2 linked regions of the Oryzias latipes genome follow. The protein of the gene in region 2 purifies or fractionates together with the protein of the main gene of each other region. This does not show direct contact. Links are inferred from orthologs where the notes say so. Each region holds a gene or a part of one and is shown on either strand. Other genes may lie near its edges.

The links. Proteins that work in one complex are often made in the same cells at the same time.
Region 1: the proteins of tyrosine-protein phosphatase non-receptor type 18 (region 2) and pstpip2 purify together in Homo sapiens (affinity purification with mass spectrometry; 4 studies listed by BioGRID and IntAct, with this or other methods). This does not show direct contact. The link is inferred for Oryzias latipes from reciprocal best matches to the Homo sapiens genes PTPN18 and PSTPIP2.

The regions. Positions count from the first base shown.
Region 1 is NC_019870.2:8,938,990-8,943,966, reverse strand, and holds the start of pstpip2 (proline-serine-threonine phosphatase-interacting protein 2), read right to left. Parts: upstream 3,119-4,977; 5' UTR 3,014-3,118; coding exon 2,981-3,013; intron 2,450-2,980; coding exon 2,349-2,449; intron 837-2,348; coding exon 762-836; intron 1-761. Other genes in the region: putative UDP-GlcNAc:betaGal beta-1,3-N-acetylglucosaminyltransferase LOC100288842, read right to left, coding at 4,360-4,977. UniProt on the Homo sapiens protein: Binds to F-actin. May be involved in regulation of the actin cytoskeleton.
Region 2 is NC_019865.2:32,087,872-32,092,268, forward strand, and holds part of tyrosine-protein phosphatase non-receptor type 18, read right to left. Parts: coding exon 4,357-4,397; intron 3,572-4,356; coding exon 3,461-3,571; intron 3,348-3,460; coding exon 3,166-3,347; intron 3,076-3,165; coding exon 2,983-3,075; intron 1-2,982. UniProt on the Homo sapiens protein: Differentially dephosphorylate autophosphorylated tyrosine kinases which are known to be overexpressed in tumor tissues.

The sequences.
Region 1 (4,977 bases), on a different chromosome or scaffold from region 2:
CAACAATGTTAGATTAAGATGCAAAAATCTGCAAATCAGGAAAAAAGCACCTTTTTTGCCCTGTCTTAAATTTGATGCTACACAGTTTTTTGTGTAACTGTATTATAAAGAAATAATTATCAACAAATTTAGCATTCTTGAAGTTATGCAAGTGGTCATTTAAAAGTTACTCTCTTTATAAAGTTTTGAAAAGTAGCTACATTTTTCCCACCAAAAGGGTTTCTGAAATTTCACAGAAATTCTGAAGTGAGCAGGAAGAGCCCTTCTATAAGTTATATACAGTGAGTTCATAAGGACAGCTTGAATCTTGCTAATGAGATAGTCTCAGAAATGTATCAAATATGATACGAATGGTTACAGGGTTAAAAAACAATGAATAAGAATAGCTTACTGTATACTAGAGTTTATACTGTGTCTTTTGCACTTGTTTTCAATTTTCCGACTAGAAATAATGCCTCTTTTAATATTTACTCGTAACTTCTATTTATTGATCAACATCTGCAGTATGCATCAAGTATGAGTGTCGACAAGAAAAGCCACCCAGAAAGTTAATACCAATGAGTGTCTCTTCTTCCTCAATTACTCTTCCTTCCTCTAAGAAGTTAAAAACCATCAAGAGAAATAAAACTACACCGGTCACGTGACCACAGAGTGAACAAGACACTCTACTTACGGATGAAGCAATCCAACATTTGGTGTTCTACATTACACGAGAGAACAGAGCAGATCAAAAATGACACAGTTGCACATGGGTCGCTTACTTCATCTCGTTGTGTCCACACACCTTCTTGGACAAACCCAGCAGGTCTTTGGCATACTTCTCTTCAATAGAAGCCCTGAAAGAAAAAGCAGCGCTTAAGAAAGGCTATACCCAAAGAAGATACCGGGACGTTGATTTCCATGCACGTCTTGAAGACAAGCAGCACTTTATCAGCATTTGTTTTTCCACATAATGTTTAGTGCAGAGAAGGTACATTTTAGAGGGAAACGGTTAACAAAAAAGTGCTTTTATTTTTAGAAAAGTACTTTTAGTGAGAGAAATAAACCTGTGGAAAAAAACTACTAGCAGCAAATAACAATAAAACGTATGTAAATGCAGCTACATATGATAAATTATAAACGCTTTTGCCTAATTTTCTGTAATATCTAGAGTTAAGCTTGGGAGCTACTAAAAATATTGACTTAAGCTGAATTTGTACTTGTTCAGATTTAGTATACACAAAGTTCATACAAAAAAAAAAGCTCATCAGTAACAAACAGATCACTTAACCAGGAAATAGTTACTCAGTGTAAATAGTTGCTTTAATGATATTTATACATATATGATCACCAACAAAACTTTAATCAATTTTCTAATTTTTTAAACTTTCTTTTTATTAATGTCTTTACTTCAAGCGTGCTTTGTAATTCTCACTTCTTTCGGTTTGGCACACCACGATGGTTTGCAAAAATGTCCTCCCATGTCGCAAAACACCAAGTTTCACTTTTGTTGTGATATATAATATCCTCCTTTTTATTTCAGAGTTTATGACACAGTTATATACTGACACAATTGCCAGATTTACATGTTGCTACCAATTCATAAACAATAAGCCGACATGCACTCAGGTCTTTGTGTGAAAAGTTAATTATTACAAGAGGAAGAAGAAATGCAAAACTCAAAACGTGACAAACTAAGGTTTTACAGTCCATACTTTGTAAAAAAACAAAAGAAAAAGGCTCAAAGAATTGAAATATAGCATCATCTTTAATAGTTTGATTAGTTGCAAAGCTGTTGGCTTAAATTTAGGGAAGAAATTTCTTTTTACTGATATACATTTTTATATTACATAACCTTTTTTCAAAAAACATTTTTAATATGTGACTTAAAATTTTAAATATATTTTAGTTATGCATTTTATTCACGTTAAAAAGCAATTCCCTGCTGTGAGATTAAAAACTTGATTATTTACTTCTCAAACAACAACTTCACATCTCTTCTTCCTTTTATCATCACTTAAACCCCACTTTTCCTGTGTTAGTCTCACATTAAGTTTAGTTTCATTTTACACAGAGCCTAGAGAGTCTAGCAGGGGTGGCTGTGGTGCAGAGGTGGGGTGGTCAACCTCTCATTGTAACATTGCAGGTTCGGTTACCACATTACCTGCCCAAGACACTGAACCCCACATTGCTCCTGGTGGTTCTTATGCAGCAGAGCCACCACCAGTGTGTGAATGTGCATGGGTGAATGGGACTATGAATATAAAATGCTAAAGGCCTTCTAAGAAGGTAAAAAAAAAGCACAATATAAGTTTACGCCATTTACCATTTATAACAATTTCATGCAAGTATTTTAATGTATTCATTACCTTGCTTTCATGAAGTCCTCGACCTCCTTGCATGTCCTTTTGCCTTCGTTTAGATACTGAATTATGGCATCATAGCCGTTGGTGCAGGTCAGATCTAAGTTCTGTCAGCATCAAAACAAATATGTCAATATTATTTCCATCAATATTTATCAGTAAGACACTACAGGGATGCCTCTTCTCTTTTAAACTGGTTAAACCCGTTTGGAAAGCACATGAGATTATTTGACCCAGGTGAAAATTGGTGTTTTTGAACCGTTAATCTCTATAATTTGGGTCATCTGAGGCTAACAGCCTGTAATCATCCTCAACCATAAAGACTTCCCTCATGAAGTTTTTATGCTTTGCTGCCTATTCAGTTTTTTACCATAGTGGGTTTGGAGTTTGAGTCTTTCGTATATGTCTCAGCTGTGTATTTAAATAAATTAGATGCTTTGAAACTGATCATCAGAAATTTAAAGCATGTCCGTTTCAAAACAAAATTTTAAAATATAAAGAATTTCTTGATAAGGAAATACATGATCATTACTGCTTAATTGAATTTCAGCCTTCTGAAGTGCATTTAATTACCCTGTAATTGTAAAAAAAAAAAAAAATTAGCCAAATTTATCTAGAAAGCTACACAAACTACTCACCCAGAAGAAATCTTTGAAATGAAGATTCTTCATGACTGAAATGTACAAGAGGAGCAACGCCGCAGGCTCCGTGAAGCTCTTTGAGTGCGATTTCCTTCCTAGTTAGTGCCGTGAACGAACCATGAAGTCTGAACTGTACAGTCTATTAACTGGCGCATGCGCAGTAACTTTGACAGGGCTGACTGGAACTCCTCCTGACAGCTCTTCATTGCTGGCAGAGCTGCCATCTAGTGGCTGACTGAGATATTTACTGGACCGGTAGAAGAGAGTGTAATGTATTAGATAAAAGTCAGTGTAGAATAAAATAAATGGTAAATATAAAGAGTGAGATGTAAAGTAAAGCAAATGTGTTAAACTTAACACAGTCATAAAAACTAACTAATAAAAAAGAAATAAAATAAAAGTTTTATTAACACTGATACTGGCAGAAAATTCAGCAATAACTAAGGATAAGGGGAAAGTACCAAATGCTGAAACAGCATTCATTTGCAGTTTTAAAAATCTTGAATCATCTAAAACAGGACAAAATAAAGCCTCCAAAACTAGCAGTTGTACATAATACCTATAATCACAACTTCGTCATTTGAATGCCTTTTTTTAAGAACATATAAAGCTTTGTATTTTCAATGGTAATAAACCACATAAAGTTTCTAAAATCATAAATGGGACCAAAATTAAAAATAAAAGTTTCAGGAGGAGACCTTTTTTTAATCAATCCAAAATTAAGAACCTTCAAGGCTTGAAGTGAGTTCATTTAAGGCTTAATACAAAAATACATAAAGGTTAAAAAAGTCTAGTCTTTAGAAAACTTGATAATGTCTGCATATTGAACTTTTATTGAAATAATTGTTTATAGCTAACCTCTACCTTGTTAATCAACATAGAAAAAAAGGGATTTTGTGATGAAATGATAAAAAAACACCTGTAATGATCTTCAGTTCAAATCTTCAATGTTTACACTGTTTTGACCCAAGATTATTCAATAGTGCATTAGTTTGAGATCTATCGATCTATCGATCTCAAACTTTTGTAAATAATGAATTTGTTCCAGAATCTTTAACAGGGAACAAATTTAAACTTTGTAGACAAAAAAAATATGATTTCTCTGAAACCTAAAGTTTATTTTGTCTAAAAACAAATTACAGGTAAGTTTCCATCAAGGCATGAATGGATATGATCAGAAATCCTGATTTTAATGATGTCTTCAGAAAGACTTTATATTTACACTATCTTATTGGAATAATTTTTTACACAACATAACTTTACACACAGGAGAACAACAAAAAATATAATTACCGATATACACTTCCATCAAATTATACAGTTCCATCAAATTAAAGTCAACTTTGACCCTTTTCACCTTGATTCCATTTCTCTTTTCAATGAGGATTAAGGAGTTTATCTATGTACGTGTGAGCTTTACAGTACACCAGTCCATAATATGTCTTTAAAAGTGAGCATCTTCCACCTTTCTGCTCAAGATCCATCCAGATTCTTTCCAACTCGTGGCTCCTCATGCCTGCAGAGCAGAACAGGTAAAGGTAGCAGCATGCGTTGTAATGAATGTGTTTATCTCCAGGGAACCTAGCACTGTGGGTTGGGGAGACACCAGCCTTCCGAGCACAGAGACCCACAAAAACATCAGCGGACACGGGCGCAAGGACCAATGCAGATGCCACATACACCTTCCGGACTACATCTTGGGACAGCACATAGGCGGTGTCATCGCAATATTCGGGCAGGTATTTGGCAGGGTACAGAGCGGGGGGCAGGTACCCGGGACTCTTAGGGTCCCTGTTAGGTTGGTCTTGTTGAATCACTCTGCCTAGGTACAGATCCTCTGGGTGTCTGTGTAGTCTGAGCAGGTAGCTGCCAAGAGCTGGAAGGTTGACAAACACAGATTCCTTGGTCAGCAGAACAAATCGTGCCAGGGGACAGAAGGAGATCACCCAGCGGAGAGCCAGCACGGTCCTCTCCTTTGAGCCATGGAGGGACCG
Region 2 (4,397 bases):
AGCCCTTCTCAACTATAATCAACGGTAAAAAAGAAAAACAACAACACGAGAGGCGGAAAAAAGTATCACAGAGCAGGAGTGACTGACTTGATTCCCAAAGACATTTAATGTATAAGTGAGGTGGTGGGGGGGGCAGAGAGAGGGGGGCTTAGCCTGTCGACAGCTACCTGGAATGTGGTGAGCTGGGGAGAAGGATCACACTGACTCTGAGGTGTTTGGGGTCATCTGAGCATGCTCCAGAGCAGCAACGAGCAGTTTCTAACCCAAACCTCTCAACTCTACAGTCAAACCTAGGATTGGCTAAATGTCAAATGCGTTTGCTGTTCCAGGTGAAAACGTGTCTTTAGGATGTTGTATTCACTAGTTGGACTGCGACTGGATTCAATTAAATCAGTGAAACTTTTGTGAAATCTCCTCCCCTCCTGTTCATAATGGCGTTGGACTGCTGTGGCGTTCTCTCTCCACACAGTAATGTGTTTTTCACTGTTTAACTCCATAGACATGTTTGCATGGATGGTTAATGTTAAGGAAGACTTTTGTTAACTCCACCCTCCTGGTAATAAAAACCATACATTTAAATGATGAGAAAATGTAAATGAGTGAACTCAGCCATCATTTCATGACTAATAAATAATGCTGCTAGCAGGCTGCAAATAGGTTTATTTATTGTGTAAAACAGAAACTTCTGTGGAAAGCGGCCCTCAGAGGATCCACCTGCTAAAGAAAGGAAGATGGGGCTAGCTTGCTCCAGTAGCTTGTCTGCTTCAATGCTTTTTCTCTAAATGTCATCACCATTTGTTTTTCCTCCTTACTGGCTGTTGCTCCCTCCTCCCCCGTCCTCCCTCCTGCCCTCCTGCATCATCGGTTTGCGACTTCAGTCAAAGTCTAGTCTGTCGTCGTCTGATGATTCTGTGGCTGATCCTCAGCTTTCAGGCTGAGATCCGTGTCTGACGAGACAGTTCCACTTCTGTAATCTATTGATAAAGTAAATCTCACCCATGTTCATGGCTTTCAGATCCTCTGTACTCTCCTTGCTCTCCGGTTGAACAGCATGTTTCTCTTCAGATGGACCCCCACCCGTTCTGCCTCTTGTCTGCATCCTTGTCTAAACTTAGTTTGGTGTTCTGAACAGCTGGTGAAGCGAACAGAATTCACTTAATGTCCCTGTTTGTATTTGTCTGATTTGGTTGAAAACTTCATGCTGTTTGTGTTCAGATGAAACACAGGTTGGCAGATTAACTGAAGCCTCTTCGCAGCTGCTACCATGTCCAGACACACCAGCATCTCTCATCCAGCCCCAGCTGCAGCAGAGGAGGCAGAACTGCGCGGCCTCCTAAAGTCCAGCTTAAAGAAAGCTCAAATGACTTCTGGGACATACTGTCAGATGAATCCTGAATAAGGGCTTCCTGCCCAACTTCTGACATCAGGCCAGAGCAGGGGTCGGCAACCTCTGCCCTTCAAAGAGCCGTTTGGATCCGAAAACACAAAATGAAAACACAGGAGCCACAGCAGAAAACCCGGTGTTCCAGTGAACGGCATCATTTCACTGGTTTCTAAAGTTTCCACTCGTTATTCTCCTTCAACCTCATTCCACATATACTGTCCTCAGAAGTGGTCCTGACTAGTTTGACGCCCTGGGCGAAACAAGATCATTTATTTTACTTTTTTATTAAACATTAGTAAAACATACTTGTGTTGTTGAATTCACAGAAAGTGTGTACCGGTAGTTAGTTCTTAACACGCATCAGTTTGTGTTTCCTTTTTGAAGGCTCCTTCTGGTAAAAATTCCCACATTTTTCTGTTTTTCTTGATCTGAATTCTGATCTGGATTCTTCCTGTCATTTTTCTGTCGGCTTTATGAATGAACATCAATGGAAACTAAAAGACATATTCTTCTTTGTTTGTGCGTCAGTGTCACATCAAACTGAACAAAAAACACAAACGATTGTGTAGATGGCATCTGAAGCATTGACTGTATGTGAGAACAGAGAAGCTTAGATGAAATCCACCAATGAGATGATTAACCAGACTAGTCTGGTTAATCAAACTAGTCTGATTAAGTGCAAACCTTCATTAACCAAATGTTGCTCCAGATTTTTCACCTCTATCAGTAAATGTGGTCGTATTTGGCGCCCAGCGAGTGTTCATTTTGGACCCCGCCTGCATTCCTTTATCCTTGGAGTGTTTTTCTTCTTTCTAAACTGGACACTTCTGTTTGCTTTGATCTTTTGTCCATTTTCCACAACCTTGAAGAGACTTTTCCGTCTGTCAAACACACAGAGTTAAGATGAGGGAGATGGTGGAAACAGATTCACTTTGATGCAGACTCCTGTTTGTACATTTTTTAACTTTTCATGAACTCCAGTAAACCCAATAAATGATATTCATTTATGGATGACAACTATTTTTATTAGTAAGCAGCTGTTAGTTTGTTGTGGGTCTGGTATCATAAGCGGTGAGTCGAAGCCCCGCCCCCGCCTCTCTACCTGTCCACATCCTCTGCAGTTTGGGTTCATGTGTCCCCTACGAGATTACCACTGACTGTCTTTTTACAAGAACTTTCCATCCCATAATAGACTGGTCCGCATTCACAGCCGCAGACACGCCCCCTCCGCGCGTTCACGCTGCTCTCTCCCACATCCTGACAGTGTTAACCCTTTTGTTATCTTACGGGGTCCAGATGACCCGATCCTTGCATTGACGTGTTCTCCCTCCCATGACAAAGGTGGATAAAGGTGGAAAGATTTCATGTAATCCATGGACACCAGTGAAGATCACAAATCATTGAAGAAAAAAGGTTCAGAGCACTGTCTAGTGGGTCTAGATGACCCAACTCCCAACGTCAAAGTGCCTAGGATAGCACAAGGGTTAAAGGTACCATGACAATCTTAGAACAGAGTAGTTATTTTCCAAACCACAGAGAGCTGCAGCAGGGAGGAGCTGGAGAAACAGCTGTAAAAAGAAGTGTGCAGGTCTTCTCACCAAGGCCAACAGGTGAACAGCTGCTCACTGCTCCTGCTGAGGAGGAGAAGATCTCATAATCATTATCCGCTTCTGCTGAAGAAACACTTTCAGCTGCAGGAGAGAAGAGGGACACGGTCACATCCTACACGTTACCCAGCTCCTGAAAGATGCATGAATCCCACCTCACCCCACCCCACCCACCGCGTGTCAGGTGATTCTCCGGCCCCTCCCACGACTGAATGCTTGGCTTCGCTATGTCGTAGATGGGTGTGGCGGAGGGGGGCAGGCTGTGTGGCTTCAGTCTGGGCTTGACTGTGCTGTAGATGGGAGCAGTGGATGCTGCTGAGGGGTCGTTGTCATAGTGATGGGAGAAGGGCAGCGACCTTCCAAAAGAAACAGATATTGACTGAGAATGGATGCTGTTCTCACAGAGACACAGGAATCCCATTAAAAAGAAATGAAAATGAGATTTAAGGGTCCATAAGGAAGTTCTGACCAACCAAACAGGAGCTGAGTCCACATTCTAGCTGCATCATCACTGAGGCAGTGATCATCACACACAGCTCGCAATGGGCGGAGTCTGACCCTCTGCGTGTTCACTGTCACACTAACCAAAAAGGGCTGTGGTTAAAAAACTCTCCAAGGAAAACAGGAAACAAGATGCACAGCAGACAAATCAGGGGCCAATTCGGCAAATGCTGGGGTGCCACTAGTGTGTGGGGGTGGGGGCGCTGGATACGCCCCATCCAAAAGAAGTCTGTCATCTCACATTTACGTGACTCTCTTTCTTGGATAAAGAGTTTCATTGATGGGGTGGGGTTATATAAGTTTGCTTCTTCACACTCCTTTGCAAGCAATAACTCAAGCTCTACTTTCTATATTTAATTAAGCAAATGTTATTTGAGTGACTTTTTTGTTTTGTTTTATTTTTAGTCTTTTTAATCTATGCATTTCAACATTTCTGTAATTAGTTTGATAAAAATGTGTAAATTCTTTATTGCTTTGACTGCAATGCTTGAAATAAATCAATAAATCAAATCAAATTACTGATTTGGTCATCACCCGGCCAATCACAGCCCTGCTCCACGCCGTCAGTCATTTAAAGTGCCTAACAAACTGCGAGGAGCTCAGGCTGATAAGAAAGGTAACCCGGATGAACGGAGCCAGTTCACTGACTGCAGAATCGGTGTCATTACTGAGTAGAAAGACGGGCTAAAAAGACAGATCCTCCAAAAACACTCTGATCTAGAGAAGTGGAACAGTTCAGACCCTGAATAAATGTTCATCTTTAGCATTTGTCAGTCAGAAAGTGTTAAATAATCACAAATAAAAATGGAAATTGAAAGCAATCTGAGAATTTCCTCCTGAACTGTCGTGAAGGTGTCACCTTACCTGCTGGCAGTGCTGGGTGTGGGCGTGGCTGCAGGAGGGTA